Linked DNA regions of Arabidopsis thaliana. Changing the gene in region 4 together with the main gene of any one other region gives a genetic interaction. Each region holds a gene or a part of one and is shown on either strand. Other genes may lie near its edges.

Evidence for each region.
Region 1: of FT (region 4) and ELF3, changing one suppresses a phenotype caused by changing the other (phenotypic suppression), as found in Arabidopsis thaliana (one study listed by BioGRID).
Region 2: of FT (region 4) and SPY, changing one suppresses a phenotype caused by changing the other (phenotypic suppression), as found in Arabidopsis thaliana (one study listed by BioGRID).
Region 3: of FT (region 4) and FWA, changing one suppresses a phenotype caused by changing the other (phenotypic suppression), as found in Arabidopsis thaliana (one study listed by BioGRID).

Annotation. Positions count from the first base shown.
Region 1 is NC_003071.7:11,057,110-11,063,824, reverse strand, and holds ELF3 (hydroxyproline-rich glycoprotein family protein), read right to left. Parts: upstream 4,882-6,715; 5' UTR 4,367-4,881; coding exon 4,148-4,366; intron 3,948-4,147; exon of another isoform or gene 3,786-3,947; coding exon 2,989-3,785; intron 1,809-2,988; coding exon 1,757-1,808; intron 1,667-1,756; coding exon 647-1,666; 3' UTR 501-646; downstream 1-500. Other genes in the region: ALPHA-VPE (alpha-vacuolar processing enzyme), read left to right, coding at 147-329. UniProt on the Arabidopsis thaliana protein: May be a transcription factor part of a circadian clock input pathway. Acts within a 'zeitnehmer' feedback loop and is involved in its own circadian regulation. Has no role in regulating circadian clock function in the dark.
Region 2 is NC_003074.8:3,630,199-3,637,915, reverse strand, and holds the start of SPY (Tetratricopeptide repeat (TPR)-like superfamily protein), read right to left. Parts: upstream 6,030-7,717; 5' UTR 5,421-6,029; intron 5,101-5,420; 5' UTR 5,075-5,100; coding exon 4,679-5,074; intron 4,522-4,678; coding exon 4,360-4,521; intron 4,274-4,359; coding exon 4,098-4,273; intron 3,993-4,097; coding exon 3,917-3,992; intron 3,629-3,916; coding exon 3,500-3,628; intron 3,240-3,499; coding exon 3,120-3,239; intron 3,038-3,119; coding exon 2,969-3,037; intron 2,885-2,968; coding exon 2,803-2,884; intron 2,630-2,802; coding exon 2,535-2,629; intron 2,455-2,534; coding exon 2,390-2,454; intron 2,310-2,389; coding exon 2,111-2,309; intron 1,994-2,110; coding exon 1,799-1,993; intron 1,705-1,798; coding exon 1,610-1,704; intron 1,515-1,609; coding exon 1,379-1,514; intron 1,285-1,378; coding exon 1,067-1,284; intron 992-1,066; coding exon 864-991; intron 773-863; coding exon 369-772; 3' UTR 1-368. UniProt on the Arabidopsis thaliana protein: Probable O-linked N-acetylglucosamine transferase (OGT) involved in various processes such as gibberellin (GA) signaling pathway and circadian clock.
Region 3 is NC_003075.7:13,036,734-13,042,964, reverse strand, and holds FWA (FLOWERING WAGENINGEN), read right to left. Parts: upstream 4,606-6,231; 5' UTR 4,548-4,605; intron 4,446-4,547; 5' UTR 4,337-4,445; intron 3,673-4,336; 5' UTR 3,654-3,672; coding exon 3,484-3,653; intron 3,363-3,483; coding exon 3,245-3,362; intron 3,049-3,244; coding exon 2,464-3,048; intron 2,377-2,463; coding exon 2,275-2,376; intron 2,181-2,274; coding exon 1,977-2,180; intron 1,806-1,976; coding exon 1,634-1,805; intron 1,521-1,633; coding exon 1,153-1,520; intron 1,065-1,152; coding exon 723-1,064; 3' UTR 501-722; downstream 1-500. Other genes in the region: homolog of DNA mismatch repair protein MSH3, read left to right, coding at 1-265.
Region 4 is NC_003070.9:24,329,713-24,334,520, reverse strand, and holds FT (PEBP (phosphatidylethanolamine-binding protein) family protein), read right to left. Parts: upstream 3,149-4,808; 5' UTR 3,144-3,148; coding exon 2,811-3,143; intron 1,996-2,810; coding exon 1,934-1,995; intron 1,221-1,933; coding exon 1,180-1,220; intron 1,056-1,179; coding exon 832-1,055; 3' UTR 522-831; downstream 1-521. UniProt on the Arabidopsis thaliana protein: Component of the mobile flower-promoting signal (floral stimulus or florigen). Promotes the transition from vegetative growth to flowering. Required for 'SEPALLATA3' (SEP3) and 'FRUITFULL' (FUL) accumulation in mature rosette leaves.

The DNA.
Region 1 (6,715 bases), on a different chromosome or scaffold from region 4:
TTAAACAATGGTATTGGCCAGAGGATGCAAGACTCAGGACGTTAGATACGATATGATATGTCGGAAAAAAATCACTTTCAGTCCTCATTAGATGATTAAGCTTCTTGTGATGATCACTTTCTTATTCTCCTTTATGTGGTTGTTAGGTGAGAGCTTTCGAGAGGCACTGTGGATCGTTGTCTCAGTACGGAATAAAGCACATGAGGTCGATTGCAAACATGTGCAACGCAGGGATTCAGATGAGGCAAATGGAGGAGGCAGCAATGCAGGCTTGTCCCACCATCCCTACCAGTCCTTGGAGCTCTCTTGACCGTGGATTCAGTGCTTGATCTTCGTCTCCGCCCTATATTAATCGATGTCCATTAATATCTTACTACCAATTATACTCCTTCCTATGTAGACAAGATGTTGTAAATATGGGATGCTTAAGTTCTTGATGTCACAGACAAAAGAAACAGTGATTGTAAGTAGTTGTTTCAAATAATCTTTGTTGTTCAAGTGATTTCAAGGCTTTAAGACAAATTAACACATATAAATGAGGCTTACACCATAATACGTTTACATGGTACATATATTGAGGATAACATCTATCACAATTTTTCTAATTTTGTAAAATACATATCAAGTACAATACGCATAGAGAGGATTAAGGCTTAGAGGAGTCATAGCGTTTACGTTCTTCTTGTATTGACTGGAAAATTCTGGCAGCATTCTCACTCGCGAGCTTTGCGTTGTGAGGTACCACCTTTATCACTCTCGTCACTCCTCCCCCATCTCTTGTTGTCTGAGTAACAGTTGTTCTTGTCGTCGTTGTGGTTGTTGTCATCGTTTGCTCAGGTGCATTGTTGATGTTGCTGTCCTCATCAACGGCTGCGAATGGCCGAAAGGACTTGCTACCAGAGATTCCCTGTGGCCCACTTGGACTGCTTCCTGTGCTCCCTTGCCTGCTCTTTCTTGCTCGCGGATAAGACTTTGTTGGCTGTTGCTGTTGCTGTGGAGCAGGTTCATTATCAGATCTCTGTTGTTGTTGTTGGGTGTTCTGAAGATTTCCAGGATGTCCAAACTGGTTCATTTGCTCATTGGGTTGTTGTTGTTGTTGTTGTTGGCTTGAACAATATGGGTTCATTATGGTGGGCATCATTCCATATGGAGGGAAGTAGCCATTACCAGGAGGTGGGAATCCCATGCCGGGGTGATATTGAGGCATTACCATTGGTGTAGGCATATAATGACCATAATATCCTCCATAATGCCCCGTGTGTGCCATACCTGGGTGAGGCTTGTATATCAGTCCTTCCGAGGGAGACATTACAGGGATCAACCATTGCTGATGATTTCCTGAAGGAGGAGGCTGAGGAGGAAAGCAATATCCATTTGGAGCCGGTGAAGCCGGTGGGTTGTTTGCAAAAGGCATGTAGTTGGATTGTTGATGATGACCTTGATTTGACAACCTCCCAACTACGTTCTCAGCTGAGCTTTCCATTTTATGTTGGTCAGTCTTCTCCGAGTCACCCCTTTGTTTGACGACAACATGTGGTAGAGGAGGCTTTACCAGAAATTCTGATGGAAGGAGCTTCTTCACTGGATAGCTTTTAGCAGAAACTTTTCCAAGAAAACTGATCTCATCGAGCAAGAGATCCGGTGATGCAGCAATAAGTTTTTGAACCTGATTATTACACAGTTGAAGAGGTTTGTTTCAGCTCGAGAAGAAACAAATACTCATGGAAACATATGAGAAGTTTCTGAATGACTTTACCTTAATCAGTCTGTGCAACTCAAATAGTTGAACAGCAAATACTCTTTGTTGACTGTAATGAGAAACAGAGTCACATTAAGAAGATTATCCATCAAAAGTTCAACAAAGAGAGACATAGTTTAGGTTGAACAGCTAATGGAACAATACGATCGAAATGAGATAGGAAAAAAGAAACAAGAATACATAGCCAATCAAAAAAGATAGAAGAAAACCAAATCAATGGGTCCAATGACATATTAAAGCATAGATAACAATGCAAAGGACGGGCTTATTGAAATCTAGCTTACAGCGCAGCTTATCCTCTGCAAAATGAGATGTCAGATATTTAACAAGAAGCAAGAAATAAAAATCTTATTATTTGCATTGGTCGTGAATCCGATACCTTACCATATGGATTAGAGTACATTGAACCTTAAAAGTTAAGTCATGAAGCCTACAATCATAAAAACTCTGTAGTTCACAACCACACTAAGGATCCTCTTAAGCAGTAGTAAGAAGAAACTATAATTCTGCATCGTCATAAGACTCAAAACTAACTTTACGTATGGTTAACTAAAATTTAGATCCTGGGGTCCTCGGAAAAACATTTCCCTACCTGGTTCAACCCCTTGAATGACAAGTAGGGAAAATGCCCAAGACGACAGTGCAGAATAAAAGCAATACCAAACCGAGACAGGGACATGTTCCAACAACCAGATGCAAAGAAGGTATAGTAATAAAGCCATCGGCGGGCACCTTGCACAATATAGGTCAACAGAGAATGTCCCTCCCTGCTATAACATGATCCAACGTGTTAAACGCGTTAATATTCTACCGAGGACTCTACAACTAAACACATAATAGGACCATTTTAGATGAATCAGGGGCCTCTCAACTATAGAACCATCACTTCTCAAGCATAAACCTGAAATCTCTTTCTCCCAAAATGAGACAGAATATGAAACTGAGTTATAGTCATATATGTATATCAGCAATCAATTGCAGCATTAATCATGAAAAAAAATATGAAGGAGAGTGTTCTAGAAATTTGAAATTTGGTGATAGTGAAATATGCCCTACCACAGTCCTCAATGAAAATAGCAAAAAACAACAGAGGAAAAAGCTTCAGTAAGACTACGGAACAATGCTTAAATATTAACTTCTTTCAAGCAAAAAATGTTGGTATCAAAGAAGGAGATAAATAGAAAGAGCGGAGAATAAATAACCAAACTGTAAATTTCTAGTGAACTTACTTGGCAATGGCTTTCCTTGCTCTCCAGAAACGTTTTTGACCTAATATACCCACAACATCATCGGGAGAGACATCTATGCTGGATATAGAATCCACCATCGAATCATCAGAAACGTCATCACTTGCCTCTTCATTTATCTGCTGCAGAGAGGCGCATGCTCTGCTTTTGCTGTATTCACGATCATTATCAATGTCTTCAGGACTGCCATGACCCTCTTGTGAATGATTTTCCGTTGCCAAGTGAGATTCAGCTCCATTATCAGTGTCCTTCAGACGAGTTTTGCCACCATCTCGGTATAACCGATTTCTAGACTCTTGTCTCAAGGAAGCATTATAATCATTTACTCTATCATGACTTGATGCTGATTTTTCGAGATCAATCTCCTCTGTGACTGATACATCTAAAGAGATTACAAAGCCACCTGACCTTGCATTCGCCTTGACCTGATCCCTAACTTCAGGTTTTGAACAAGTAGCCAAACATACGTTTTGCTTTGAGCCTGTCTGATTCACTTCTTGAAATCGAATGGAGTGATGAGAGCTAGGTGCCACCATTGGGGTGTGTTTTTCCTTCTCAATACCACTCTTGGTTCTGCCATGAGACTGAGATCTTCTTGAGTTAATATATACTGGAACTGCAAAATCTTCTTCCTCTCTCACCATTTTCCTCTGATCATGCTGTGCCGAAGATCTCACATTTTCCATGAAGGACATTTGGGAGACAAACTTCTCAGTTGCTTGGTTTGCGGCTGAAGAATCAAGATGCTGGACAGATAAGTTTCTTTCCACACCACAAGGCTGCATTGAAGAGGGTAAAAAAGGATTATTTCTCATGTCCTTGCAATAGTCTGAATGCTCAGGGCAATCACAAGAAACTTTCATCGAACTTCAGAACATAAAAAGAATCAGGCACAACAAGAATGTTAGTTTTAAGAAATAAACCACACTTAGATAAACTTGTGTCTACAAGACTCTCATATATACAGGAGAATTCAATCCTAAAAGCTCAATCCATAAGCAAAAAGAAGATACTATGATCTGATAACAATTGAAACATAGATCAACCAATGTCCTACTTTCTCTTTCAGGCTATATAACATCCAAACTCATACAACTAATAACATCAAGAGCCTATACAATGATCAAAATCAAAACAATACCTGACTAGATGGTCCAGGATGAACCAAAGTGCTTGTGTTGTTACTACGAGAATTCATCGTTCCATGATCACCAAACCTCTGAGAAGGAATACTAAGCTGCTCATAAAGAGCCATCTTGTTTCTAGGAGGAGCTCTAGGCCCTCCTTTATCTGCATCATTCACATGAAGCCGAGGAAACATAGGTTCCAATATCTTCTCCTCATCTTTCCCTCTCTTCATCACTCACAATTCACAACCTTTTTCACTTGCAAACTTCTCAAACCCCAAATAACCTAACTTCACACCAAAAATCTTCCCTTTCTCTTAATAATTCAACCTAAAAACTGAGAAAGACTCCAACTTTCACAACAATAAGCTTCAATAAAACAAACCCACCAATCAAATGAAATATCTTAACCCAAAGGACAAACTACGATAGAGATCTCACCACCAAACCAATCAGAGAAAACGAAATCGAAAAACAGACTAAAGAGGAATCAAACAAAACCAAAGTGAGTTTTCAACGTACTAATCGAGAAACAGAGTGGGTGAATCAAGTAGAGAGAGCAAAAAGGAACAAGATTCAGAGGAAGGAAGAAGATGACTTGTGAACAGAGAGAGGAAAGGGGCAAAAAGAGATAGGAAAAGTGGAGCCCAAAAAGATAGAAGGAGAGGATCTCTCTGGAGATATTATAGATTTAATCCATTTGGACATTTTTTTCACCACCGGAAAAGTGCGTGACGACGTGGACTCTTTTTGTCGTTGTAATAAGAAACTAGAAAGTAAAAAAAAAAAACATCATCCAATACATCACTTTTTGTTTTCTTTTAGGATACGTAAAATGTCATAGATATATTACCATGTTAGAGGTTCTTTGATCAGTGCTTTGTAATGTTGAATAAAAGATTGTTTTCAGCTAAATGAAGTCTGTTTGTTTTTTCTTTTCTAGCAAATGAGTGGAGTCATCGACACGATTAGATTACTTGAAGATTCTTTTCTAGGGTTGTATGAAATTATAGGGGAATATAATGTAATATATGTGGATGTGAAGAGTAATTATATAATCATGCAATCTTCCAACTCACTGAATGAGGAGAGCTCCGATCTGTTAGGGATTTCCAGAATTGAAAACAAGAATATGGAAGTTGAAGATCATGCATAAACTGAAACAATTTCTTTGGTGAAACACAGAGCCGGTCCAACGTTTTTAATGCCGACGTAAATTAAAAAAAACATGTATTTCTCATTTTTCATGAATTTCGTAAAATCGTTTCTGAATTTTATACAATCTTTTCTGAATTTCTTAGATATCTTTGGATCGACAAAGTCCGATCCATAGTCAATCCCTACTATGCGGGATAACGCGATTTAGTGGGATCGAACTCCAGTAGGGTGGGTAGGTGGAGTCAAATAGACACGCCCTATGTTTTGTTAAGTTGAAATCCAAAAATATGAGTGAAAGAAAATCCAAATAATATTTATCTTAAAAAAGCCTAAAATATAGTTTATGTTTAAAAAAGGAAACTTAAAAGATAATTTGTCTTAAAAATGCTTCCAAAATTTTGATGCCCAACTCCATTCATTTCCTTGCTTGGAATGTGGGCTAGGCGGCCCAGGCCTAGAGAAACATAGCAAAAGCTCTAGGAGCTGTGATACGTTATTGGAAATGTCCCACTTGGACACTCTTATTTACTAAAACACGTTTCAAATCCATAGGACTAATAATTGACAATATATACCAACGGTGATATGCTGCAGCTGAAGACATCAACCCCACATTTTTCACTTGTCCTGTATCTAACGTTGATATTGTCCCAATTACCTTGTCTCCCTTTGTTAACTCCATCAACAGTTTGTGAGAAAGAATATTAAGAGGTTTTTGGACATGTATCAATTACAAAACCTTTAGGATCATCAAAAGTTACTTCCGTTTTTAGATACTTTTATATATTGCTTATTCGGAAGTAAAGAAACAATCATATTTACCAAAACCAACAAGTGAATGTATCCTTCAAAAGATAGAAGTCCCAAGTTGTGATGCTAAGGAATGGATTGGGGCCTTTGTTATGTATAAAATAAATTTGCAGGGGTTCCAAAATCCACCAACTCAAACTATCATGGACTTGTCCTGTATGGTGTCGTAAAATGCAACTACGATCCATCTTACGAATAATTCTAAGCATGTTATATAATTGGGAGTGGTCGGATAGTGAGAAATCATTTCGGAGTTCAAAATACTCGGTGGCACTATGAATATATAGCACTAATACCTCTGGAAGCTTAAGGTAAGGAATTACCAATGGTACTCAAAATAGTTTGGTCATACGGTTATACTCGCTTTCACTCTAAAGGAGATTGCGAATTTTTGGTAAAGATTATCAAATATCAATGGATATTGATGTTGGAAATATGTAGAGATATCCAGTGGTGGAGCCAGGAATTTTATTTATAAGGGTCATGAAATATATAACCTAAAATGTTTCATCTTTCAAAATAAAAAATTCTCCCATTTATCCTTTTTGTTTAGTGTATCATCAAGTACTTTTTATCACCAATACACTTTTTGTTAATATATAATATATATTGTG
Region 2 (7,717 bases), on a different chromosome or scaffold from region 4:
TTTCTATAACTATATTTACTATCATATGAGTCAAAATCCAACACATGAAAACATCCTAAAAAGCCTTAAAACCCTAATCGATACACAACAACTTGATCTCTCAAATGAGAAGAAAAACTCCAAATCCACTACCACCTAACGACTTCCCAAGAATCATGTAAAGCTAAACTAAGAGTAGAAAGAGATACAACAAAAGAAAGAGCTGGTTTTACTATTCTTTTTACTACACAAGCAGTAATCTAAAGTCTAGTTCCTATTGTCTTGGAAGTAAATAGCAGGAAAAGCTCATCGACTCTTTCTTTCACACCTTTTCCAGATGGGTCAAGACTCTCTGCCGGCATTTCGCAGCAGCTCGATTTGCTGGTTATCTAGCTAGTGGAGTCCATTCTCTTTGAGAGCTGCGGGGATTGGGTTGGTAAAGAGGAAGGTACAGGAGCAGAACCATTGGCCTTGAGAGACGGAGTGGCTTCTCCAGTAACGCTGACTCTTGATGGTCCCAAGTCTTTTGAGATTAAGGGATCATCATGGACCTCTTTTTGCAGCATTTCCATTCGCCTTAAGGACGGCACTTCACCTTTGCAGTACTTTTTCCACATATTCCGATATGCGGATTCAAGACCAACAGCAAAGGAAGGACCATTACAAACAGGAGATCCAGCCATTAGATCCCGGAGACTCATTCTCAATTTAGAAAGAGCTGTGACATCAGAGGCTAGATCAACAGATAGCTGAACATACTCATCCTCATTTTTGGCAACCAGGTGTCCTAATCCTGAATCAAGAAATGGCTGAATTAGCTAAAAGATGTCCGACTAACAACAATTTTTGCAAAAAAAAAAAAAAAAATTTTGCTAAGAGCTTACCAACTTTAGTGAGAAGACTGACACCAACATTATGAGCATGTACTGAGCCAGCCATTGTAACACATGGAACTCCCATGTAGAGAGACTCACAGGTAGTGGTAGTTCCAGCATAAGGGAATGTGTCCAAACTGCAATAAATGTAAATTAAATATGTGAATCTATAAGCCTCGGTGTTTTACAGAGCACTATGTGTCAAATCTTACCTAATATCCATCAAGGAATAGGCTTGCATATGGTCGTGATTGAAAAGAATCAAAGGCAAGAGATCAACACGCTTTGATTCTAACCCAAGCTGCTCCAGCGTGGTGAGAAACCTCTGCCTAATGCTATCGCAGCAGAAAGGTTTGCATTTTACCACTAGACGAGAATTGGGAACTGCACACAGTATCCTAGCCCACACTTGCAGCACCTTAGGAGTTATCTGATTTGCACAAACAGAGATAAACCTGTCAAAACATTGAAAGAGATACTAGGGGAGATTGGTGTGCATAATCCAAGGACACAAATTTTTTAACCTTTGCGAGGTTGTTGAAACTACCAAATGTGACAAAGCCATTAGAAAGCGCAGGTGTTGGACAAACAGGACCAGCCTCTGGGGAAGGTGTATAACAAAGAAAACAGTCCGGAAGCCTAACCAGCTCCTCGACCTGCCTGCAATCAAATATCACAAAATAAATAAATAAAAATTAAGATTTTTATTTGGAGCACTTCCGAAACCCAAAATTGCATCTTGAACCAAAACGTACTTTTGTTTGGTATCTGGTGGATCAGCCAACGAATCTGTAATTCTGTAATCAACAGTGGGCAAACCCGTAGTATTTGGATAGCCGATCCAAGTAACCTGGTATCTTAGCCAATATAAGTACACTTGAAATGGAAAGTCAAAGGCAAAACCCGAAACAACAAAATGAGATAGGTTTAATATATCCTCTCACCTGAACCGGTGCTGGTCTGCAGGCCATTGTTCCCAACTTGTTGTTTGCCGTATGACCAGTGAGTTCTACCAAAATGTCGATTTTGTCCTCTCTGACCATACTTGCTATCTTTTTCTCATCTATCCCGTATATATCCTTCCAAACTCCACCTTTCTTCAACACTTTATCCCTAAACCTGTATGTTTTTGCATCTGCCTGCAAAGCCATGAGAGACCAATGATTGCTCAAAAGGGAAAAATGCCACGAGAACCAGGAAATGAATTGCTTAGAGGGAAAATGTATCTATATAAGTTATATAGGTAAAAATCCTACCTTAACTACCGCTGAATAAACCACCACTTTGTACTTTGTATAATCATGATGCGTAAGGGGAGCTTCAATGAAATAAGATACTGAATGAGTGAAGAAATCTGGTGAGATATATCCAATGGTGATAGGTCGCTCTGGATCTTTCAGATTATCCCATGAAGTGTATTGAGGGTGTAATCTTGTGAAGCGCCAACCCCAGTCTCTGTGTTCAGAAGATTTTTTCACTGTAAGACCCATAAAAGCAACATAATACAAATCTACATTAATAATATATGTGCTTACCTGTGAGCCTCAAATAGTTTGTCATCGAGTCCTTCATTTATGTAATTCATGGCAAGCAATCGGTTCTACAAAAGGGGACAAGAAGGTTTTAAACACATATATCTTTCAACCTCATAACAAGAAGACCACGCTAAAGTATAGATACCTGGCCAGCATTGCGAGAATCTGGATCTATCTTAAGGCATTCCTCATAAGCATCGATAGCCATAGTTATATTTCCAGCATCTCTGTAAAGAACACCTACATTTGAATCGCACCATGAAACTGGTTATCACAGACACTACAAGACTCTTAGCGCCAGGGAGGTAGAAACAAAAGGACAAACATAAAATCTAAATTTCAAAGGAATATAGTTTCTAAGCAGTTGTAACACGTGAGGAAGCTCGTAAAGAACAGAAGATGAGAAAACAGACCTAGGTTGTTAAAAGCTTCTGCATATGTGGGATTAGCAAGTATAGCCTTCTCAATCATGCTGGCAGCAGCATCCATTTTCCCCTGTAATATCAGAGGAATTGGCATTCTATCGACTTAGGAGATTCAATTAAGAAAACATTAAGCCGCCCTTAATATATATCAAACCTGGACTGTATAGACGACACCAAGGTTATTAAGCGACTGTGCAAAATTTGGTTTGATTGATAGAGCCATCTACATAGGTTGGGAGATATAATAAGCCACCAAACACAATGAAATTCTCATGAAACGCTACAGATATCTGCAAAAATATTACCTGATAACACTCCACAGCTTTATCAAGGTTGTCACGGTCTTTGTAAAGTACTCCCAAATTGTTGCAAGCCTCAGCACAATGTGGATTAAAGTGGAAAGCAAGCTCATAGAAGACAATCGCCTGCACATTGAGAATGCAATCATGACCACAGACATATTTCATTCTTTGGCTCTACAATTCCATTATAATATAGAGATCTACATACAGAGTTTTGGATTAATTACGAGAACATGTGGAGAAGGATAAAAATCTAGGTAGATAAACTAGTCAAGATATATATCATTTTATCAAGCGAGTAAAGTGGCGAGGAAAGGATAAACACGCGATAACAACCACACCATTACTGACTTACAGAAATGAACAAATCACAAATTAAATACCATGTCGAACTTTAGCATTTCTCCATAAGCCACCCCAAGATTGTACATAGCATCTGCATAGTGCCAGTTATAATAGAGAGCCTTCTTGTAATATGCCACTCCTTGGGTTACATCGCCTTCAAGTTTAACCTGAAATATCATTGACATTTGACAAGTCAGATGTACTCACAGCTGAACAGCTTCTCGCCAATGGAAAAGAAGGATTAAGAAACTGCAAATCAAAATTATTCAGCGCAAAAGTTCACTAGTAAAGAACATAAACAGATTCCAATGCCATTGCCGTGACATAAGTACAAAGCACACACAGCACAAAGGGGAGCTAAACAAAACGAAGTTTTATAACGAATTTTCCAGAAGGCGCCCCTTACAAAAAGTATACTTGAGTTATAAATTGTGATAAAATTTAAGGATTCTTACCTTTGTTCCTAAATCTGTCAGAGCTATGGCCATATTGTTCTTCGCAATCTCAAAGTTTGGAGACACAGCTAGACATCTAAAGGCAGAAGAAGAAGAGAAAAAAATCAGCGCCTTACTTGCACGTTCAACAAAGTAGCAAGAAACCAGTCAACAGTTAGAGATGAATTAACAGATATGCTACCTCTCATAACAAGTGATTGCCATCTCCAAGTCACCACGGTTCTTATAAATGACACCCATGTTACAATATGCTTCAGCATACATAGGCCTCTCAAGTGCAGCCTTCTCGTAGCAGCTCAAGGCATTGTCATATTGCATCATTTCGGAGTATACAACACCTAAGTTGTAATATGCAGGCTGCATAAATATATTATAACATACTGAATTAGAGAATCAGTTAAATGGTACCAAGAGTGTGAAATGGTAGAGGAACAGAAAATTACAGCATAGTGTGGGTCAATCTTAAGGGCTTCGTAATACTTTTGAATTCCTTCCTGAGTATTCCCAGCCAGCTTCAGGCTAGTTCCAAGGTCGGTCAAAACAATGGCTAAACACTCTGCTGCTGGCTTGTATGATGCATCTGCCATCAATGCTTTCTGGTAGGACTGTGCAAAATATGATGATTAATCGTTAGAAACTGATTACCTAGCAAAAAACCTAATGCATAATTGCATATCACCAATTTAACAAGTTCAATGGTCTAACTAATGCAGCACCCTCTAATGCAAATCATCACAGATAGAAGGTAATGTAATGTTGCACCTCAGCAGCTTCTACGAGGCGTCCTTCTTCTTTATGAAGTATACCACAGTGTGTAAGGGCACAAGCATTATGCGGATCCAACCTGATCGCTTCAGAAAAACAATCGAAAGCTAGATTCCCTTTGTTCTGCGTCTGCAAGCATATCCCTTTTCCAATGTGAGCTTCAACATTCTTGCTATCTTTCTCCAGCATAGCCTCATAGAGAGCAAGCGCATCAGCAAACTTGTTTCTTGCCCGAAGAATATTGGCATAAGAAAGTGTATCGTTCCCCTGAGTGACCTTTCGTGATGGAGACAAAACACCTGCGCTAGAAGAAGAAGACCGAGACCCATTGGAAAAACCATTCTCTACGACTGGTGACCTCTCTCTCTCAGTATCATCTTCCAGTCCCACCATTTTTTTGTAACTAAAATCTTGTTCACCTTCAAAGAAACAATTATAAATATCAAATCAAAGGTGGAAGAAAAATAAACCTTGCATTGTTGACATAAATATGAAGCTTCAACGAAGCTAAAGATTTGATCTTTAACAGTATCAAACCCAACTCATCACATTCAATTCCAAAAAAAAAAAAAAAAACTAAGATTCACACAAATATGCAAAAAGATCAGACCTTTGGGATGTAAACCCTAGAAATTAAACTAAAAGAAACGATTAAGCAGAAGAATGCATATGTAATTGAGAGTAAACACGAACAGATTAAACAACAAGGTCCGATACTTAGGGTTTAACGATTACTTACCACAAAACCTGAAAAGAGGAACTTGACTCTGTAGCGACGAAACCTCTGGAGCCGCTAGAGAAGAAATCGAGTGGCTAAAGAAGAATGATATGTTTGAGTAGACATAAGAGAAGCTGATCTCCGCCTCGCTCCTCCGAAAACAGAAAGCGTTGATCAGTATACCTCAGACGCCAAGCCTAAGCGGTGGAGTCGTCGCTTGGCCGTGAATGGATGGAGCGGAGGTGGCGGCGACGGCGTAGCCTCTATTATAAGCTCGAGGACAAATGAAAGAGGTACGAGGTCGGTCCGAGCCAGTGGACAGAGGCAACGACTCAGATTAGCTCTCCTCGCTTTTCCTTTTTTTTTCTTTCCACAGCTCAGATTGTTATTTTATTTTATTAGAAACGGACAAAATAGATAACAGTAATCATTTTGCAAAAATAAAAAGGAACAAGGTAAATTAATTAGTCATTGTAATAAAGAAACAAAAATCTCCAGATATGCAAGAAAATATATGTTTTATGTTTTATTTCATACAAAATCATCTGAATTATGTCCAGCCATTTAGGAGATTTGATGTTTTTTTCATGGACTATGAAACTAGTCTAGAGTTATAAAACCCTCTTGTCTAAAAAAAAAAAAACGTTATAACTTCTCTAGTTCTATTGAAGCCAGATTGATTGATGAGTTATGTTATTATTGACATATCTATCATTTACTCAATACACTCACACGTAGAAAAAAGTTGACTTCGAAAATATTGGTTAAAAGAAACTACAAAATTTGTTTTACTCACAAAGTTGATAATGTCCAAAACATAATTTTTCACGATTGTTTTATTTGGACAAAATAAAAATCATTGTTCTACCGAAAAATAAATAAATAAATTCATTCTCATTGTCTTAATTTTTTTACGAAATTATGAAGTGGGAAATGGATCAAGTAAGTTTCACAAGTGGGAGTCCAATAGTTAGGATCATGTCGGCCTCGTCCACTTGCGTTCTCCTTGATTTAACGATCACTTGCTTGTCTCAGGTCTCAACTAGTGGTGACGTCAATTCATTTGGTATTCATTGGACTATACACTTTTTTTCATTGTCAAATAATTGGACTATGCTACTTAAATAATATACAGCTACTCAGAGAGACTTTTACTCCAAAACGAAAGAGCCCCTTTTAAACAACACCTTATTATTTGGAGCAAAACAAAAAACAACACCTTATTTAAGTAAGAAATTAGTAATGGTACATCACAATGGCATCATAATGAACAACTGATAAACACTTTTGAATCGTCACCAGCAGCAGCATGTCATAAACGCACCAACCATGATAGCATAGATCGTGAGGTGCGCAATACCATTACTTCTCGAAGACATAGAAAGCATTGGAAACAACTTATGCTACTTTGGATCCATTAATCTCTCCTGATTAACTACTCTTTATCTTAACCTTGTTTTTATTTCTTTTTGCCAAGGTTAATTTAATTTAGGTAATACGTCTCTTGTAATACCAAACATTTCATTTCTAATGATATTTACATTCTTAGCAAAAAAAAGAAAAAAAAAACAAACAATGATAGCATAGATAGTGTATTATGATGGAGATTTACGTACTCTAACTAAAATTATGGAAACGAATCAACTCAACTTATGGTTGCTTAATAGTTTAATAATACTTTTTCGTTGATGCAGTTTCAATCATAGTTGATTGCATTTAAATAACAAAAAATGAAAAGAAAAAAATATTTAGCATTTCACATATTTTGATGATTGGTATGAACTTTGGTTAAAAATTTCAGTTATAAAATCATTTTTATTACGTATGATTTAGGAATGAGTTTTATGTGGTCCTTGCAACCCAAATTTTGATCGTAATTTTTTTTTCATGTCATTTAGTTTGTGATATTTTAAAATCGACTACTAGCTGTATTATCAAAACCACAATCCTGGAAACCAATTATAACCAAAATAAACCAACCAAACCAAAAAGATGAAATCGATGAACGGTGAGAAAACCAATTTTGACCGGTCACTAATTTTCATTTTGCTCTCAAATCGCGACTCCTCTCTGGGCTCTCTCCTTCTGTATCTCTCTAAGGGGAACAACGAAATCATCACCTTCTCTTTTATCGTCACCGGCGATCATTCAAGACTCGATCTCCGGTAATCAGAACATTTTCATTCGCCGACATGGCGATGACCATCGAAGGTAATCAATCACCTATCTTCCAACTGTATCATTTCCCGACGGAATCGAATCAGATTCAAGTCGATTTTCCCCTTTTACTTTTCTCCCTTGCTCTATGTTCATATATT
Region 3 (6,231 bases), on a different chromosome or scaffold from region 4:
TCCATCATGTATACGTCGAGCCATTTCAATGGCTGCAAAATTGGAAGCTGAGGTACGTGCAAGAGAGAGAAATACACGCATGGGAGAACCAGAAGGACATGAAGAACCGAGAGGCGCAGAAGAATCTATTTCGGCTCTAGGTGACTTGTTTGCAGACCTGAAATTTGCTCTCTCTGAAGAGGACCCTTGGAAAGCATTCGAGTTTTTAAAGCATGCTTGGAAGATTGCTGGCAAAATCAGACTAAAACCAACTTGTTCATTTTGATTTAATCTTAACATTATAGCAACTGCAAGGTCTTGATCATCTGTTAGTTGCGTACTAACTTATGTGTATTAGTATAACAAGAAAAGAGAATTAGAGAGATGGATTCTAATCCGGTGTTGCAGTACATCTTTTCTCCACCCGCAACCCTGTTTCTTTTCAGCTTGATTTCTAGTAGTTATTAGAATTCTGGAATGCATTTTTCACCTGATATAGTGAAGCATGATCTCCATCAATGTTGAATACGAAATATATTGTTCTAACTCTCTATTAATTCTGGTTTGTAACAATTTGAGAGTTTCAGAAAAGGAAAGAAGAAAGGAAGCAAGAAATATCCAGCAAACAGATCAACAAACGCATAAAAAAGTTAATCCAGAAGAGTCTTGGTTGGAAAAGCAAACTAGGGCACAAGCCAATGTCGAATTTCTTGCGGAACAACGGAAACTGGAGCTGCTGATGGTTACGTCTGTAAATCTAACGCGGATTTGATCTTGACAATAGTATGAGCCATGAGTGTCTCGACACTTTTGACAGTACCTTGAATGAGTGCAGCAGTTGGATTGATGCCCACCAAGATCTGAAGTCCAAATGTCAGTAGACATCCTCCACCAGTATTGCCTCTATGATATGACCCATTTACTCCATCTGGCACTATCGAAAATCCCGAAGGAAGAAACTTCACAGAATCTGAATTTTCACCTCTCTTGACCAGCTCAATAGAATTGGTTTCCACTGGTGCATACACCACCATTGCACCTGATGCATCATTCCAAATCTCTTGCAGAACCAGCATACCATTATTCTGTTTGCATTGCAAAACTCACGAAAATCAATGGAAACATAGACAAAACGACACTCATTAAACCAAAAATAAATGTTTTGAAACTCACAACGATTTTCAGAAGAGAGATGATGTTTCCATGGCGTTTTGCTTTTTGAATCCGGATTGTTTCTTCCATGGTAGTATCATTGGTCAAGATATCCCACTCGTGTCTGAAACTCAGGTGGCTAATGAAAGCAAAGAGTGTATGCTGGTTCACTGGGAGCCAAACAGAAGTGGATGCACTCAGCACAATCCCAGTTAGCTCACCAGGCTCATTCACGTTCTTTCGGATCATGAAACTCATGTTTTGTGCCACATTCTCCACCTGAATTTTCTGCCACTTGTCCACCGAAGGACTCGTAATACCTCTGTAGTAGTTGAGAGTCATTCGCTGTGCTAGCTTCACTATTTCAGTTGCACCTTTTGCAGACAATCCTATATCGAAAACATATATCACAATCAAGGCCTGTCCAAATTTAGTGGAGAACCGAAAATGACCTAAAAAGTAGTTGTAATGAGATTTATTCTATAATTTAAATAGCTTTCACCTGGACTAATTTCAGTCAAGTTGGTAGATGAAAGGGTCGAGAGGCTTTCGCAGTGTCTCTGCAGCGTCGCGAGCCATCTCTTTGCACCTAGCCCGATCCCATAGCCAATCAAAGGCTGGTAGAGTTGGTGGATGTGACTCTCATTATATTCCGCTTGTTCAATCCATGTAACCTGTGAAATCAAATCTCTATGTGTTATACATGTGGTGAATATAATAATAACCATTAACCATTTATTTATGTCTCCACAGTACAAGATGCTCTGATAGATCATTAATTATGATTGCGAGTAATAACAAGTGAACCAACATATATTGTTCAAAGAACAGGATTCAGAAGTAACCTGGGAGTACCCATTGGACAGGTCGTCTATGATAAGGCCTGAGGGTAGCCTCTTAGAACAACCATAGGGCAGCAAAGTCGGATTTTGAGTAGGAGTAACGTCGACGACCACCCATAAGCCCTGTCTGATCTCTTTGCAGTATCTAATAAACGTTACTTTTCTCTTTGGTACCAGCGGAGAAATTACTTGAAATTCTGCTTGAATCTGCCAAAATTATATGATCACAAATTTGAAATGTTTCTACTTCTCTTGGATTATCAACCAATATAGACGACTCAGAAAACTATATATATTATACCTGTTGGAGTGAGCCACTTTTGGTTCCACCAGAACCGGTAGATAGCACTTTATGGGTTGATGCCACAGGGACTATAGGTGCAAACACGTTGACCCATTTGCCCTGTTTAAAAAAAAAAAAAAAAAACTTGTTAACATTTCATGTAACAACATTTCACTAAAAAATGGGTGGTGGTTTAAAGGTTATTACTGTGTCCATAAGAGTCTTGACCAGAGTCACGCAAGTCATGGGAACTAAACCTTTAGCTCTTGAAGCCTCCACAATTTGCCCGGGAGGTTTTGTGACATTGTTGAAAGAACTTCTATACTTCTCATAGATCTTTGATACTCCTTTGGATCTAACGATTGGATCTATCATCCAAAATGGACAGTCCACTTCTCCCAATGTAATCAACTCTCTCAAAGCCGTAATGGCAAGATTCAGAAAAATTGATGTCTCCTTCTCAGACGTCCTAGTTCCACCACTAAAATCAAGTACTGGTGTTGCATTTATTCCTGGATTAGAGGAAGAAGAAGGCGCCTGTTCGGATGTACTGACCATCCTTTGTTTGGGATGAGAAAGGTATCTGGAATTGAACTGGTCTATCTCCCGCTCCAAGTTAGCATTCTCAGCCATAAGTTTTTGCACCTCATATTCAGTGTCTCCACAATTAGTTGCCTTACCACAAATGTTGCATAAACTACGTAGCATTGCGCTTCTAAGCTGATCCTGAGTTGCTAGCAATCTGTCATGCTCTTCTCTAAGAGTTACATTCTCAAGGTGGTCATTATTGATCTGCTTACCCAAAAAACCACACTCAATAATTATACCATAATCAAGGCAGATTTTGAGGATGAGAGAGAGAGGTGGTAAACTATATACAGTATTTGTTTTTAACATAGGGCAGAAACATGGTCCATAATACGGTACGTGCAAAGAATAAGAAAAGACACAGCCACATGCATGTATACACTTCTGTATTTTTTGGTACCTTCTCGAGATTTCTTTTATTCTGGAACCAATTCTTGACTTGATTGACACCCATATTAAGCCTTTGTCCAAGCTCGTACCTCTGTTCTTCAGTGGGATGAGGATTTTCCATGTAGAAACTACACTCATTTTAAAGTAAAGAGCAAAGTAAAGAGAAACATTCCAAACTCAAAATAAAAAAATAAAAAAAATAATAGGAAATGTTGCATGATGATGAAATGAAGAAGAAAGTGAACAAACTTTTCAAGTTCTTGAGTTTGATAAGCAGTGCGCCTATGGGTTCTTCTCATCCTTCCACCATCTTGATCATTAACACCAGACATATCATTAATCATATCAATCTCATCGCCTTCAGCTTCACCTGGTTTTGGAATGTTTCCAACCGCATCCAAATCACCTTGTCCATTCATTTTCCCTCAATGCAATAACCTGGACATTGCATACTATTAGTACTCGATATAGAGGTTTAGCTCCCTGGACATATAGTGAGTGTGATCAAATTAATACACGTATAAACTTTATATTAACCACCAAACAAAAAAGACTTAAAAAGTTTTTTCTTTTTGGTTTTAATGCTGAAGATTTTATCGATAAATTATGCCCCAAAAACACAATGTTAAGATTTACTACCAACCTAAGATTATTTACTATTTCATTCCAAAGTTTGACAATTGCAACAACTCAAAAGAGACAAAGCCAATCTAAACTGAAAAATAACAAAAAACAATCTGCTTTATACTGGAAAAGAAATACAACCAGAATAAAATTCAAGTAGAGAATGAACCAGTAAATGGTTCTTTTTGGAAGAAGAGAATTAAATTAACATTTCTAGTGTCTCGACAACGAACAAGACAAAAGAACTCAAAAATTTGGGATACCCATTGTAGAGTTAACACAATATTTTTCAAAGTACTTTACACATAAGCGAAAAACAGACAAATCGGGAACCAAAATCATTCTCTAAACAAAATGTAAAAAAATCTGATTTTTGGCTGAAAAAAACAACAAAAATCTGATTGTCAGTATCCTACAAATCGATAAATCGTAAGAAGAAAACATAAAAATAATATTAAAGTTGTGTGCTAAAAGCAACCTTAAACAACCAAATAGCACTTCGACCAATGTCGAAAAGCAAAAACCGTAAAGCGGTGCTCGTATGAATGTTGAATGGGATAAAGAGCGGCGCAAGATCTGATATTTGGCTGGAAAAAACAACAATAATCTGATTGTCAGTATCCCACAAATCGATAAATCGTAAGAAGAAAAACATAAAAATAATATTAAAGTTGTGTGCTAAAAGCAACCTTAAACAACCAAATAGCACTTGGACCAATGGCGAAAAGCAAAAACCCTAGAGCGGCGCTCGTATGAATGTTGAATGGGATAAGGTATATATGAGATTCTCGACGGAAAGATGTATGGGCTTCGATAAAGAATATATGAGATTCTCGACGGAAAGATGTATGGGCTTCGGCCCATAACTCTTTGATATTAGTATAGAACCATAACAAAAGAAAAAAAAAAAACCTTAAACAAGTAAACACTAAACCCAATTGATTCTTTACTAAATTTAGTAATCAATGGTTATTGTGAAATGAAATTTAACTTTTCTTTCATATGAAAAAAAAAATTGAAACCATCCATGGATGGCCTAGTTTTATTTAGATAACTAAATATCTATGTTTTGAAATAGTAATCTATTACATGACACAAGAACGAAGATTAACTAAATCGAGAAAGAAAAAAAAGTGTAGATTTGGTAGACGCTGAATATATAAAAAAACTAAAGTGATAAAACAAATTGTCTTTTTAAAAAAGTATGGAATTTTCAAATTTCCCATTCTTTCGGTATATGATGAGAACCTTCACATGGATTTTATTTTTAACAACAAAAATCAATGTTGAAAAGTGTATGTACCTATGAAACAAAATCAGGGTCTTAACTAGTTTTTTGTTTTGGTTTTGGTTTTAATCTTTTCTAGTTGCTTTGCCTTATTTATAAGCGCAGATGAGGAAGAGAAAGGCGAAGGCACATCAGCTGCATGGGACGTTGCTGAAGCTGTGGCGCTCTCATTGTGTGATATCTTCAATCTCTGTTAATAGCTTTGTAATGGTGGTAACAATCCAAAAATACCCAATTACAATCTTATAAGTACCAATCATCATCCATCCTATGGTTTTTCTTTTTTAAACAAAATCCGATATAAAATTAATAAAAATCTATTGTATTAACACTAAAGGTCTATTTACGAAAATTTATAGTTACAATGATATGAAATGATAGAAAAAATGAAAGATTATAAAATTGTATTGACCGAAAAAAGAAGTTTAATATATATATATATATATAGGGATACTCATTAGAAAATCTATATGCTTAGTGAAAAATGACTCCTTCCCATAATATTAAAAACAGATAAACGAAATTGTTAACTAAATTTATTCAACAATAATAAACTTTTAACAATGACAGGTCACACTTTAAATGGAAATATGCATTGATAGACTTTCTCGGTTGAAGTTGTAACTCTAGATTTATTTTTGTAGAATTTAAAGATGTATTTTGTTCCTTTTGTTGTGAGCTATGAAATTAATACCTTATAATTGTAGGTTTTAGGAAGCGGTTGATGTATAGCATGTGCAGAGTAAGCTCGAAATGGCTGAGACGAAAAAAAGTGTCGCCACAATGATTTACTTTTTACTACTATACTTTTGATCATTGGGACCTAATGGATGAATGTTGTGTGTTGTGGACGAGTTTATGACACATAACAATATTGTAGACAAATTGTCTAATTTGAGTAGAGATACTAAAATTTATCTCCATATAATTGTATACTGTATATGTATAACAAATAATTCAATTCATTGGCCTAAGATGTTTTATTGTATCTTTGTAGAATTTTACACTTTAGAGAAAAATCATTGCAATAACTCGATGAAAAAAAATGTTTATCTTATCCTAGTTACAACTAACTATCTATCTAT
Region 4 (4,808 bases):
TTGGATGTCTAAAGTGTTTTATTTTTAGTTTTAAACTCAAATTTAATTTTAAAATAGAAAATACATTAAATCGAAACTTATACTATTTTAGGCGTTGAATCAGTGATCTAACCATAACTTGACAGCATAACGTCTAGACGGAGCCAATACAACCGCCTAAACCGCTTTTAAATAAAACATAAATGCTTAAGTTGTTCCTCGTATTTATCCCAAATTAAAAAAAAAACGTTTTTCTATCATGGGAACAAGATCTAACGTCGAAGTCCATTAGTAATTAATCTTCAGAATGTATAAATACTTCATATGTTTACCTTTCAAGGATTTAATAATTAAGGTTTGATCCTAGGATTCGATCTTACACATGTGTTTCTTCATACGTGAGCCCATAAACTTAAAACCAAAATATTGCTCTACTTTTCTAGCTTATGTATTGAATGCAAACTCTTTAGTTTGATATATAATGATCGACTTGGATATTATCAGTACTTTAGTAGCAACACAAAAAAGTGTATTATGGAACCCAAAAGTAAAACAGCAGATTCTTCCCACTGCCTGATTTTTGCATCGAAAAGAAATGAATACACGTAAAGTATAAATATAACACTTCATTTCATGTAGATTAATATAATTATCGCATCACACACTATATAAGTAAAACACTCTCATTTTCCTCCCCCTCTCATTTTTATTACACACTTATATATTGAACTACTATAGGCATCATCACCGTTCGTTACTCGTATCATAAAATGGTTATTAAATTAAAATACTATAGATGCATAAATCTCATCAGAGTATGCAATATCAATTGGTTATAAAGGAAGAAGCCATCTAAAGTCTTCTTCCTCCGCAGCCACTCTCCCTCTGACAATTGTAGAAAACTGCGGCCACGGGAAGGCCGAGATTGTAGATCTCAGCAAACTCGCGAGTGTTGAAGTTCTGGCGCCACCCTGGTGCATACACTGTTTGCCTGCCAAGCTGTCGAAACAATATAAACACGACACGATGAATTCCTGCAGTGGGACTTGGATTTTCGTAACACACAATCTCATTGCCTGAAAAATAAAAAGTTCATCAAAACATGTGAATTTTCTAGCTAGTAACTAATTAATTAGGCTATTTCATATACCTTTCTATATTTCTAACACCTAGCGATCTAATATATAGAATAAAACTCACCAAAGGTTGTTCCAGTTGTAGCAGGGATATCAGTCACCAACCTGTAATGAGAGATAGCCATACACATGTTTAAGCTATGGCACCACAACATAATTGAAATGCTACTTCTTTTTTTGACAGAATTGAAATGCTACTTAAACTTTATTTTCTTACAAAAAAATAATAGCAACGTAACTAATTCCTAGATTACTAGTGCAAGTGACTAGCAAAACATGCAATAACATTCAAGTGCATGAATATATAAATAAAAATAAAAAGTGATATAACAGGAAACCTAGTCCTGCTCACTTCAAGGAACAATGATGATGTCATCAGGCTATTTTAAGCTCAATGATATTCCCGTACAAAGACCACTTTAAAGTGAAAAAAACAAATCTTAGTTCAAGTCACGTCCTATACATTCTATAGAATCTATGTGCGATCAGTAAAATACACAGACATACATAATACATATTTACATTACACATAGTAAAGTTTTTGAACAAAATATGTCAATTTAGCTTGGGTGTGGGCTTTTTTGGGAGACAAATTGATGCATCGCACTCTCGAAGTTGATTTTATATGTCTCCTTCTATTAAATGTAAAATGTTTGAGTCTTAAGTTATAAGTGATCTACTCAATTTCAAAGTATCCAAAATACATGTCCAGTTTTACATGTGTAGTTGAGTGTCTATATATATAATTCGAGCAACATGTTTGAGCTATGCTATAACTTAAAAGTGAATTAATTAAAGAGTTGAGTTAGTGCACAAACCAATGGAGATATTCTCGGAGGTGAGGGTTGCTAGGACTTGGAACATCTGGATCCACCATAACCTTCATTAAACAAATAAGACGAAGAATTATAAGAAGATAAGATTATCATTTTCAAAGAAATCAAGAAAGCAAAAGGTCTTTTTTTCTTTTTCTTTTTTGAAGTTTGGAAAATGAGATAACACAAGAAAGAAGAAGAAAACTATGAATAGAAAAAAGGTAGTAGCTACATGTCTATATATAGCAGAGAGTATCTTAAAGGCTGGCTTGAATATCAGAATATCCTTATTCAAACAGTTTTCAAATATTCCACAACAGAGATTCATCAATATATATATTTGTTTTAATGAACATCAATTTTCTATATCTTTTTGCAGATATTTTAATTAGCAAAAAGGATATTTCAAAAATGCCATTTTCAAAGTATAGTAAAAAATTATACTTAAAAAAAAACAAAAAAAAACAAATGCAAATTAAATTATTAGGTAGGAGGAACAAAGAAAAATCCCAAGATTCTTATCCTAAATAATAATCACTTATGCAAGAAGTTGGTGGAAAAAATTTGGGATAGATCATAAATTTATCTCTATTTAATTTAGGATAGGAAGAAATATTTTATGGGTCCATCTTCATGAAAAAAGAAATGAAATATAAATTAGTTTTTGATTTGGGTATCATAAAGTAAAACCAAATAAATCATAAAAAAACAGAGAAAAGGAAAGCGTGGGGCATTTTTAACCAAGGTCTCTGCATGCCCAAGAAATATTTTCAGTATACCCCAAAAAAGGAAAATAATTTCTATTTTAAAAAAGAAGGTGTAAGAAGCACTGAAGAAACTAAAGAAGAAAAGAGACAAAAGGGAGTTCAAGTGAAAGAACCAAAGTATAGAAGTTCCTGAGGTCTTCTCCACCAATCTCAACTCTTGGCTTGTTTTGAACCTGAGAAGGCCTTAGATCCAAGCCATTAGTCACCTCTCTTTGGCCATAAGTAACCTTTAGAGTGATTGATCTATTAAACGGATCAAGAACGTCTCCAACAACTCTGCTTACTATAAGAGGGTCTCTTATATTTATAGACATCTTTGATCTTGAACAAACAGGTGGTTTCTCTGTGTTGATTGTTTCTGTTTTACTTGTTTTTGTTTCTGCTTCTTTAATTTGTATCATAGGCATGAACCCTCTACACATATTTATACTGTTTCGGATTTGCATTAACTCGGGTCGGTGAAATCATAACCACAATCTTTTTCTTGTCTATTGATGTACTAGAATCTAAAACTGATTCTACGTACATCACACATTGTCGTCTTATTTCATATTTTTCTTTCTTTTTATTTCTGTTTGTGGTATTCCAAACCCACCACACTAATACACTGGAAATATTCCAAATTATATCTCCCACTTGGTAGCCACTAATTTTTGATTTATTTCCTTTAACAAGATACCTCTCTCGACTAAATATTATTTACTTTTATACAAAGATATTAATTATGATAATGAGTAATCAGTAGTTTCATATATATTTAGTTTTGCCATATATTAACATAATTTATCATAACAAAGTAAGATTATTAATAAAAATAAGAAAAAAGTAGGGTACCGCCAAGTTTATAGAGAAAAAAAAATTACAGTATCACTTGTTATGTTTTTAAAACTATTATTTAGAGATATAAAGAAAAAAAAAATTCTTAAAAAATTCGAAAGCGAAAACGTTCTAAAAGAAAAAAACTAAAAAAAAAGTTGAGATAGAAATCATAGAAGAAATGATATATTTTATAAAACAGCCTTTTCTTGTAGTTATACCAGGTAGAACAAGGGATCCTTCAGGTTAGATAGAACCAGGACATTTGAGAATAGTCACCTATTTTTCTAGCCGCTTGTGTTATATGGTCGACAAACAAATCTCAAACATGTAGAATGAAGGCAGTTATTTTCATCGTCCATACCTACCAATGTCCGAACTCAAATACGCAAAATTATCTCAAAATGAATTAAGTACAAGATATCTGCAATTAAATAATATAAACCAAATCAATTGTTTTATTTCTCTTCTTTTTTTATAAACAAGCGGCCATATTATGGAAAAGTGAGTTTTATAATTGAGATAGTATCTAGTGTCTTGAAACAATTATATCATACGGTAATCTATCTATACATATAATATTAACTATTAAAAATCTAAAGCAAAATAATGATTACTTTTTAAAATTAGACATTAGTTTGGTTGTAAAAATACTAACCATCCATTTGCACGACCAGGATAATTGGTATATATACTTATGCGTCTATAAATAGGTATGGATTTGCTAATTTGAGAGATTTTCTTTTTGACATTGCATCAACATATATAGATGTAACTACCATTACCACTAATTAGAGCATTTCTTAAGTTCAAAGATGAAACTTATAACCATAGCCTAACAACTGTAGGAATTATTCTTTCTTTTTCTTTTAATTGGTAATTAAATAATTAGCGATAGGTTCTACTGTCCAAACTGGAAAATAAAGGAATTATTCAGTGATGTAGTTTTTTGTAACATCTCAGTAATGTATTCATATTGAACTTTATCTTATCATTTCAGACTTCAGCCACTGTTCTACACGTCCATAGGTTAACTTCATCTTAGGTTGAAATCCAAAATATTTGGTAACCTTCATAGAAATTTCAGATTTGTTTACTAAAAAAGACGTCTACGATCGACCATTGATAATCGAAATCGCAATTAAAAAAAACTCGAAATCTGCTATATGCACTTTTTAACGACTAGCATTTATTTTCTACTAATTTTAGTTACACACAAAAAAATGTATGCATTTTTAAATATTGGACAGGAGAGCTCAGTACTATAAGAATTGTTAGTAAATTTTGTCATTCAA